Arabidopsis thaliana: one gene and its partner. The protein of the gene in region 1 interacts with the protein of each later gene in a pairwise test. Each region holds a gene or a part of one and is shown in the gene's direction. Other genes may lie near its edges.

Region 1 (5,164 bases):
GTATACGTAAATAGTATATTCACAAAATAGAATAGTATCTCTCAAAAATCTTCCAAAATCAAAATCGATTTATTGGCTATTTCCCTTTAGAATTTCCAACATCGTAAACCCTTTATCGCTTCTAGATCTAAGAAATCCATAACATGATCGTCAATTTGTTGTTCATAATTCTCAATTTTATTTTCCATGGATTTACAAATTAAAATTCTCATATGAACTTTGATGGGAAAGTGAAGATTAATTTGACATAATTGGCGAAAGGATTTCACCGGATTTTTCTAGTATTCTCTGGCTGACGAAGAATAAATATAGTCAGAGTATTATTGCGCTAATGGTGTTGTTATAAAATAGAGTAAATCAGATTTGAGTGATCCTATCGACATTTAAGATTGATCCATATATAATTTTGACTTTTGTTTAGTTGATGGTGATGTATGTAAAGATTCGTAAGAAAAGGGCGAGATAGATGAAAGGAGCACACTTCATAAAAGAGAAGAAGATTTATTCACAAGGATGTCTTTTGAAGAAGAAAGAAGAAGGAGAGCGAGATGTACAAACACAGTAAGAAAAGGGAGAGAGAGATGAAAGGAGCACACTTCATAAAAGAGAAGAAGATTTATTCAATAGGATGTCTTTTGAAAAAGAAAGAAGAAGGAGAGCGTGATGTACAAACACATGATAGTATTGTCAATATTATATATATTATACATAATATTTTTTTCTATTGTTTGAAGTGTTAGTTTACCAATTAAAGTATTTTTGTTGGTTATATTTGCCAATTCCCCAAGTATTTATACCATTTTCGAAGTTTCGACATAAGTTAAAAAGGATATAAGAACCGGAAAAATAACGAAAATCTACAGAAAGAACAGACAATGACAAAACAACAAAGGAGGAAAACATATGTATAGAGCGAAAACAAAAGAAGAAACACCGATTCCAAAATGCCAAACTCGGAAATTTGCGTGATTTCCTCCACAACTCCAAGAAGCTGGAGTCTCATCCTAAGTTGTATACCTAATTTGTTTACAGAAGTTATCTATGGTGCTAAAAAAAATGGTTTTAACACTTGAAAAAAAAGCTTTTACTAAAGTTATATATATATGGTTTAGTGGTTTTCTTTAGTGTATGAGTCGATATGAGAGGACAGTAAAAGATAAATCATTTTTTATATAAAAAAGCTGTTGAATATTATTTGTTATTTGTGATAAACAATTTGAATAGTAAAACATGTTACATAATTTCTTTAGCTAGTGCTTATAGAAAATTGATTTTAAAACAAAATAAAGATAAAAGTTAGTTTCTATTCAAAAAATTGAAAATGATTGCCACATCATTTAAAACTAAAAGTTAAAAATTAAAGGTAAAATTGGTTTTTTTTTTTTGAAATCGCTTTAATTGTAAGGGTAAAAGTGGATATTTGTTTTTACTGAAATCATGAGTATGAAAATAACAGCAATTTTTTTTGGATAATAAACGCACATTTTAATTATTATGTGTATTTTTTCCAACCAAAAATAATTGAGTATTCAACGTCTAGATAAAAAAGAGACTGAGATTTTTTTCGACTTTTTCTCCAAAAAAAACGAAGTTCCAAAAATAATGATGAAATTAGTAGTGGTAAATGGTCAATTTAAATCCGTTGCTACAAATCAAAATTTAAATCTGTAAATTAACTAAATCTATTAAATTATTAATGAAAACCAATGTAAAAAGAATCTCAACTTCTCAAGCATACTTTGTTTCAAATATTCTACTATTCAAAATACTCCCTTAAATCATAACCTGAAACTCACATAAGCTGATCCAAAATTGAATTTCATTCCACAATTTTTCTCTTAAACTTCATATAAACATGTCAGCATGTTACACGGCCTTTTTTGTCTGCTTCATATATCTCTCAAGTGTGTGTACTACACAATAACATTTCCTGAAAATCTAACTTTCACCCACTCACCATCTTTTCTTCTCTCTTTCCCCATCAAAAAAAACAAAAACAAAACACAACTCTGTTTCTCTCATCTTAAAATTCATGTAAAAAAAATCTACAAATCAAAGAGAGAAACAGAGTAAAGAGAAAGAGAAGAAGATGGCGCGGAAATACTTTCAGAGAGAAGTTTTGCCGGTAACGGCTTTGGTAATAATGGAATGTGCAAACGTTGGTTTAAACACTCTGTTTAAAGCAGCAACTTTGAAAGGCATGAGCTTTCATGTCTTCATCGTTTACTCTTATGGTCTCGCTGCTCTGCTTCTTCTTCCTTCTCTGTTTTGCTCTTTCAGGTCTCTCTCTCTTCTTGATTCGATCTCGATACTAAATTTTTCATCTAATCTTGAAAATTGGCTAATCGGTTCTTGTTTAATTTCACAGATCAAGAACTCTTCCACCGATGAATTTCTCTATTCTCTACAAAATCGTGCTCTTAGGGATTATTGGGTAAAAGTCTCATCTCTTGAAATTTTCTACCAAATAAAAAATTCTCAGTTCTTGAAATTTTTCTTTAATTTCAAGCAATACCTGAGTGTTGCTGAAATAGGTTAATTTGATCTTTAATTACCTGATTAGATCAAATTTTTTGCATGAGTGTTACTGAAATTCTCAGTTTTTGTTTACCAAAATTTAGAGAATAAAAAGTATAGAAAGAGACATTTGGCTTAAAGTTGGTTCCAAAAGCTGCAACTTTACTGCAAAAATCTAAAAACATTATTATTATTATAAACAAAAATAAATTCAATTTTTGGGGGTTTATTTATATGATTTAATCTTAGTAAAAAAATGGAATATATTATTTGGTTTTGGTTATAAAATTTTTGATTAATAAAAGTGTGTGTTGACAATGTATATAGATGCTGTTCATGATTTATTCTTAGTAAAAAGTGGAATATATTATTTTGTTTTGGTTATAATTATTTGATTAATAAAAATGTGTGTTGATAATGTATATAGATGCTGTTCAAACATAATGGGATACACAGGGATAAATTATAGTTCTCCAACACTTGCTTCTGCAATCAGCAACCTCACTCCTGCTTTCACCTTCTTGCTTGCAGTCGTTTTCAGGTTTGACAACAACATTTCTATATCCTATTTGACATATTCCTTTTACATTATCAATTTACAAAATTACCCTCCGTCCATTAACTGTATATGGGCCTTATTGTTTAGCCCATGAGGTTATGATTTGAAAACGTTTGGTGTAATGTTGTAGGATGGAGAGTGTGTCTTTTAAGAGAACAAGTAGTGTGGCTAAAATGTTAGGAACCGTTGTTTCTATTGGAGGTGCATTTATAGTGACTCTTTATAATGGTCCTGTTGTGATTGCTAAATCGCCACCGTCTGTTTCTTTGCGATCGCAATCGACTAACCCTAATTGGATACTTGGTGCGGGTTTCCTTGCGGTCGAGTATTTCTGTGTTCCATTGTGGTACATTGTTCAGGTCTGAACTCTATATGCATATATAACATATATGTCACTATGTGAGTTTTTTGGTTTTCTGATAGAATCATATGTTCTCAATATTTTTTGTAGACTCAAATCATGAGAGAGTATCCGGCCGAGTTTACCGTTGTTTGCTTTTATAGCATAGGCGTTAGCTTTTGGACCGCGCTAGTCACATTGTTCACTGAAGGGAATGACTTGGGTGCATGGAAGATAAAACCGAATATAGCTTTAGTGTCGATCGTTTGCTCGGTGAGAATATAATTACACTCATGTGTTTTTCCCTAGAGATTATGAGTGTGATTAGTTTTTTGACAAGCAAAATGGTTTTATTTTGGTTGATTCTATTTCTATGTTTAGGGATTGTTTGGATCTTGCATAAACAATACTATCCACACGTGGGCATTGCGGATCAAGGGGCCTTTATTTGTTGCAATGTTCAAGCCATTGTCTATTGCAATTGCTGTTGCAATGGGAGTTATCTTCCTGCGAGATTCTCTCTACATCGGCAGGTACAAAAACAACTCACACTTTTATTTAAATAGTAACGGGTGAGTCCAAGATTAGTTTGGGACTTGCGGTTATGTTAGAACCATACCTCAAAAAACTGTGGAAAATATTAACTAGTCATTCTCTAATTCTCAGCTCACTTTAACTCTTTTGGTTTCCTTTCTTTGCTTGAATGATGATCCCAGCTTGATCGGGGCAACGGTAATAACAATCGGGTTTTACACGGTAATGTGGGGAAAAGCCAAGGAAGTGGCCTTGGTCGAAGATGATAACAAGGCTAACCACGAGGAGGCCAATGAAGCTGACCTTGATTCTCCATCGGGTTCACAGAAGGCTCCTCTCTTGGAAAGTTACAAGAACGATGAACATGTATGAGTATCATCAACTAGTGAAGATCACGCTATATATATATGTGTGAAAAAATTCATATGTGAATTGTCTTTGTAATTTATTTGATGAGACAAATGTGATCTTTAATTTTAGGATCCAAGTGTTTTCTAATCACAATCTAACAAGTCCTTTTTATATCCTTTTTTTCTTAGTCTTTCACATGATTTACACTAGAATGATTCCAATATCCTTAAGAATAAGACTAATTCTTCACTTAAGATTTAAGAACATCTTTTAGTGATAACTGATAACTACAGGTTTTGGCGACCAATTTTCATTTGTTTTATAGTCCTTGATAGTGGTGACGATATGTCCTGGATTTAAGACTTACTATGAACTGGAAAATTAATTGCTCATCAAGAAAAGATATTTAACCTAAAAATCTCAAAAATTATCCTAAAAATCTTTGTCCTCATAACTATAATTAAGTTACTAATTAACTAATGGTTAGACATTTTTTTTTTTTAACTATATAGTAATAGTGTAATAATAATTGTTGAAAGTGGTTTTTACTTTTACTGCGGTGGGATGCAAAAGTAAGTTGAAGTTGAGATTCTAAAGCTCCTAAATTGGTCAAACCGTCAAACCAGAGTTTCAGATTCAGACAATCAAAAACAAAACAAAAAAAATGGCTGGGAGATTCTGTCAAAGAGACGGCGGGATCATGACGGCAATGGTGGCGGTGGAGATTCTGACAGAGTGTAGCCAAAGTAGTTGGAACAATAGTTTGCATTGTGGGTGCACTTGTGGCAACTCTATACCATGGCCCCATCGTCTTCGCCGCATCTAAGCCGTCCTTTTATCTCCTTCAGCGTCTTTCGGCACCT
Region 2 (5,440 bases), 3.5 Mb from region 1:
ATTGGTAAGAATTTGATCTATTATGGTGAGTACATTATCCAGGTTTATATAGATATGGTAAATTATGTTTTGAGTTGGGTCTAGTTAGTGGCAAAGCATAGAGCAACCGATTGCATATAGTTTCCGGTGAATATGATATAACTAACACATGATGGTTATAATGAATAATTATGTCGAATACCATGCGGCGGATCATATGTTTTAGGCTGTATATGCCATACGTGATCTTGGATGACATGTCTTTTTTTCGAGATGATAACATTTATTAGTCGGTCGCTTAATTGATTTCGAGTTTTCTGTTGCCATTTTAAATACACATTTGCGTCAAAAAAAAAAACGAGTTTGCTGTCTCGAAAATAGCACCAATGCCCATTATTTCTTAATTGTATTTTTTCGGCTAAGGTTTCTAATTATTAATTTATTATCAAAACCTTACATATGGTAATGGTACACTGTACGAGTTTTTGGTTGTCTTGTGTTTTTCAATTTGTTCTTCCTCTTTATGTTTTGAGTTTTGTTGTCCTGTTTCATTTTATTCTTACTTTTGTTTTCTCTGAATTTTGTTTTCAGTGAACGTATAATTTAAAAATCTGCAATACAAACAAACAAATATCTAAAAGTCAAGTTGGCTTTACGCATGTGATCGACGAAACACCTAATTGTCTTGTTCTTTTTCATTCGTCTGAATAATTTCATGAAATTAACAAGACAAAGGTTCACATTTATAAAAAGGGAACGAGAGCAATCAAACTACAGAAGATCACTACATCAAAATAACGCATTTCTCAGATTCTCAGATTCAAACACATTCACCTAATTGTTTTGTTCTAGCTAGGCCTTTTAGCTATACAAATTTTGCATTAACATTACAATTTCCATCGGCATGTAAACAATTAGCACTAACTAATTAATTAGTACTGCAATATATCAAACATAAAAGATGGTTAATTAATTCAGTGTCAAGTTGCTGATCCTAATGAGAATGCAGTGCTGAGACAAGATCTGATGAGTCTAACAAAAATGTGACTAATTCAAATCACATTAATTACTGTATGTAGCAAACATAAGATTATATATATAATATATCACACCAATTTATATAGGGAATAAAACATATCCTTGTATGCAATGCATAACGTAGTTATTAATATAGCCTTACATGAATAACGTCGTTAAGATAACGATATGACACTATAATGACGAAACCTTATGGGAACATCATGAAAATAATGTAACGCGAGTTTTGACTTTCCAATGTAAACGAAAGGAGTAGAAAGCAACGGAAGACTACGAATGAAAGTATGGAGCTACGTATAGTTTACGAAATAATTAATTATACATATAGAAAAGTAGTGAGTCAACTTTTCTTTCCATCGTAATCAATAGCCCAACTGTTTACTATCATTGTTTGAAATATCCTCTGACACAGAAATGTTATCTTATAGTCAATTTGACGTACAATATGCTCTCTTAATAAAATCAAGAAATCTAGTTTTTATCAAAAACTAAATTTTGTCCCCATTCCATGGATAATGTTAAAACATTACATTCATTATAGATCCATGCATGTGAATGAAAAGGCTCACGGGTAAAAAGGTTATTAAGGTATCAATATGACCTCAAATTTTGGATAGATATTGAAGATTTCATACCACTTTTTTTAGTGTCAAAAGACGGAAAAGTAATAACTAAACTATACTACTTTTAAAAGTTTGAAAATTGAAAAACAGATTTTACACCTAATTTAAAATATCAGATCAAAGATCTTATCTACAAGACTAAAATTAAACTAGTAGCGGTCTTTGCTGTCCATTGACCGAGTTTTGCGGGTGGTTTACTCATTTAAGTACCACAGCATCAAATTAAAATAACTGTCACTTGTCGAAAGTGACTAGATAAAACCAAAAATAGCTTTAATTGAGTCAAAATTGTAGTTCTAGTGCAAAGTAAAGAGTTATCATCTTACAAAATGCGACTCATTAGTGTATTAATTAATTAATTTTCAGTCCAATAATCTGGTTAATTTGGTAAACTATCCAAAGAGTAATTAAATGATTCCTCGTCATAAATACTAATTTTCTACGTTTTAAGCAAAAAAGACAATAATTATTTGGTCTGAAAACTAAAAAAAGACACGAGATTAAGGGAAGAAGATAACGATCTAGAGGAATAGGCAAGTGGAAGAACCAGAACAACAGCTGTTCTTTTCTTCTAAACTTCAGAAGTCAGCCGACAGTTAATTTCTCCTTTTTTTGAGGTTTTGTCGAATCCTATAAATTTCAACTAAACTCTTCTTCATTTTCAATATCAAATCTTGTCTTCTTCTTCTTCTTCTTCTTCTTTTTCTTCTTCTTACATTTGATTTCTCTGTCTGAATTCGAGAACCAGATCTACTAATTACCTGAGAGAAAAAAGATCTGCTCTGTTTGTCTGAAACAGACAGAAGTCAACAAATCTTTCATTTGTTTTTTAGCAAATCAAAGAAATGGCCGGAGGGTTCGTCAGTCAAACGCCGGGTGTTCGGAACTACAATTACAAACTGACACCGAAAGTGTTTGTGACATGTTTCATCGGTGCTTTTGGTGGTCTCATCTTCGGATACGATCTCGGGATCTCAGGTTTTTTTCTTTTCTTCAAGTCTTGTTCTTCTTTGATCTGATCTAGGAATTTCCGGTGACTAATTAGGGTTTCTATATTCTTGTAGGAGGGGTAACCTCAATGGAGCCATTCTTGGAAGAGTTCTTCCCTTACGTCTACAAGAAGATGAAGAGCGCACATGAGAACGAGTACTGTCGATTTGATAGTCAGCTTCTCACTCTCTTCACTTCGTCTCTCTATGTGGCGGCTTTGGTGTCTTCTCTCTTTGCCTCCACCATTACTAGAGTTTTCGGAAGGAAATGGTCGATGTTTCTCGGTGGTTTCACCTTCTTCATCGGTTCTGCTTTCAACGGCTTTGCCCAAAACATCGCTATGCTTCTCATTGGTCGTATCCTACTTGGTTTCGGAGTCGGATTCGCCAATCAAGTAAGCTCTAAAAACTGTCTTTTTCCTTGATGAAGAAGTAACACTGGTGGCTTAGTTAACTGGTTTTGTTTTGTGTTTCAGTCTGTACCGGTTTATTTATCAGAAATGGCTCCTCCGAATCTAAGAGGAGCTTTCAACAACGGGTTTCAAGTAGCGATTATCTTTGGTATTGTGGTTGCAACGATCATCAATTACTTCACCGCACAGATGAAAGGAAACATCGGATGGAGAATCTCTCTCGGATTAGCTTGTGTCCCTGCAGTGATGATCATGATCGGAGCTCTGATCCTTCCCGACACTCCCAACTCTCTCATCGAACGTGGCTACACCGAAGAGGCCAAGGAAATGCTTCAGTCCATCCGAGGAACCAATGAAGTCGATGAAGAGTTTCAAGATCTCATTGATGCAAGTGAGGAGTCCAAGCAAGTGAAACACCCATGGAAGAACATCATGCTTCCTCGTTACAGACCACAATTGATCATGACTTGCTTCATTCCTTTCTTTCAACAACTTACCGGAATCAATGTCATTACCTTCTACGCCCCGGTTTTGTTCCAAACCCTCGGGTTCGGTAGCAAAGCTTCCCTCCTATCAGCTATGGTAACGGGTATCATCGAGCTCTTGTGTACCTTCGTCTCTGTTTTTACAGTGGATAGGTTTGGAAGAAGAATCTTGTTCCTCCAAGGAGGTATCCAGATGCTTGTCTCTCAGGTAACACAAACGCCTAACCCTAACCCTACTATACGTTTCTTAATTGGCACTCAATATCTCAAAATATCGGTGTGTATTACAGATCGCTATTGGAGCCATGATTGGAGTCAAATTTGGAGTGGCTGGAACAGGAAACATAGGGAAAAGTGATGCCAATCTAATCGTGGCACTGATCTGCATCTATGTAGCGGGTTTCGCCTGGTCATGGGGACCGTTGGGATGGTTGGTTCCTAGTGAGATATCTCCACTAGAGATCCGATCAGCAGCTCAAGCCATAAACGTTTCGGTCAACATGTTCTTCACATTCCTTGTGGCTCAGCTCTTCCTCACTATGCTTTGTCACATGAAATTCGGACTATTCTTCTTCTTCGCCTTCTTTGTTGTCATAATGACAATATTCATCTACTTGATGTTGCCTGAGACAAAGAATGTGCCAATCGAAGAGATGAACAGAGTGTGGAAGGCACATTGGTTCTGGGGAAAGTTTATTCCTGATGAAGCTGTCAATATGGGTGCTGCTGAGATGCAACAGAAGTCCGTATGATGATGATCAAGAATGAAGTTTTCTTTGGGCAATAAAGATTTATGAGAAAAGAGAAAGTGAATAATTCTTGGGATGAAATAAGAATAATTGTCAAAAATGCCTTACTTCCTAAAAGAAAGCTGCTCTGTCTTTAGCTTCAGAGACTTAGCTTTCATTGTTTCTTCTTTCTTCTTTTTTAATGTTTCTTTGTTGAAATTGTTATTTGGGGCCTAAAGATGTAAAAACAAAAAAAAGAACAAAATTATTTAAAAATGGTTTCTTATTTTACATTTCATTGAATCTTTATTTGAGAAAAATAGTGTTAACGCTTTATGCAAGAAACAAGAATAGTCATCACTCATCAATCGATATTCCAGTTTATCCTTACCATTTTTTTCTTTCCAATGATTGCGGTACCTCTTCAGCTCTTCTTTGCAACAAATTTTGTGAGAAAGTAATTTCACATTTTCGAAAACTGATCGTTTAATATAACTTAAAACTATCACTCATCTAGTGACGGTATTACAATTTCCCAAAAAAAAAAAGTTAGAAATAATACAAGTACTGATGTGCATCAGTGCATGGATGAATAATTGAGTACAGAGTCAAAAACTCCCGACCAAACCTAGCAGTGATATTACCTTTAAACTTTGATAGCATATATCAAACTGAGATTGACCTATGAATATGATGGCAACGAGCTCGTGGAAACTGGTAACTGAAGATTCTTTTTTTTTGTCTATTTGGTTTCATTGCCTGAAACTCCCTATAACGTTTTCCAATTCTTTCTTTCAAATTACGCATTGTAAATAACATTATTTTTGTTGAAAGATATTTAAGATTATTAAAAAATTCAAATTGATCTATATAGTACCAATTCTTTTTTCTGAATGTGATCATGAGAGAGTGTGTGTGTGTGTTTCGTTTTGTCAACGAATTATGAATTTGCTACGTACGTGACAAGTTTCTATGATTTTGAAAGAGAATTATGAATTTGTTACATCTTTCTATTTTTTGGGGTCCAAAATAATAGAAATAAAAAAAAGTCTACAGACAAAGAATATTATATGATCTGTATGTGAAATTGGAAAGATAAATAAGGTAAATTATGTCTGTAAAAGAAACGGTCTAACAAACAGTCAAACACAGACAAGAATCACCATGAAACTTGGAGTTTAACAT

The links.
Region 2: the proteins of UMAMIT41 (region 1) and STP4 interact in a protein complementation assay, tested with the Arabidopsis thaliana proteins (one large-scale study listed by BioGRID).

What each region holds. Positions count from the first base shown.
Region 1 is NC_003074.8:10,440,895-10,446,058, forward strand, and holds UMAMIT41 (nodulin MtN21 /EamA-like transporter family protein), read left to right. Parts: upstream 1-1,713; 5' UTR 1,714-2,089; coding exon 2,090-2,280; intron 2,281-2,368; coding exon 2,369-2,434; intron 2,435-2,944; coding exon 2,945-3,058; intron 3,059-3,206; coding exon 3,207-3,435; intron 3,436-3,527; coding exon 3,528-3,689; intron 3,690-3,797; coding exon 3,798-3,949; intron 3,950-4,132; coding exon 4,133-4,322; 3' UTR 4,323-4,537; downstream 4,538-5,164. Other genes in the region: UMAMIT43-psi (Nodulin MtN21 /EamA-like transporter family protein), read left to right, coding at 5,100-5,164.
Region 2 is NC_003074.8:6,932,563-6,938,002, forward strand, and holds STP4 (sugar transporter 4), read left to right. Parts: upstream 1-2,005; 5' UTR 2,006-2,485; coding exon 2,486-2,618; intron 2,619-2,704; coding exon 2,705-3,024; intron 3,025-3,105; coding exon 3,106-3,735; intron 3,736-3,817; coding exon 3,818-4,279; 3' UTR 4,280-4,635; downstream 4,636-5,440. UniProt on the Arabidopsis thaliana protein: Mediates an active uptake of hexoses, probably by sugar/hydrogen symport. Can transport glucose, methylglucose, galactose, xylose and mannose, but not fructose.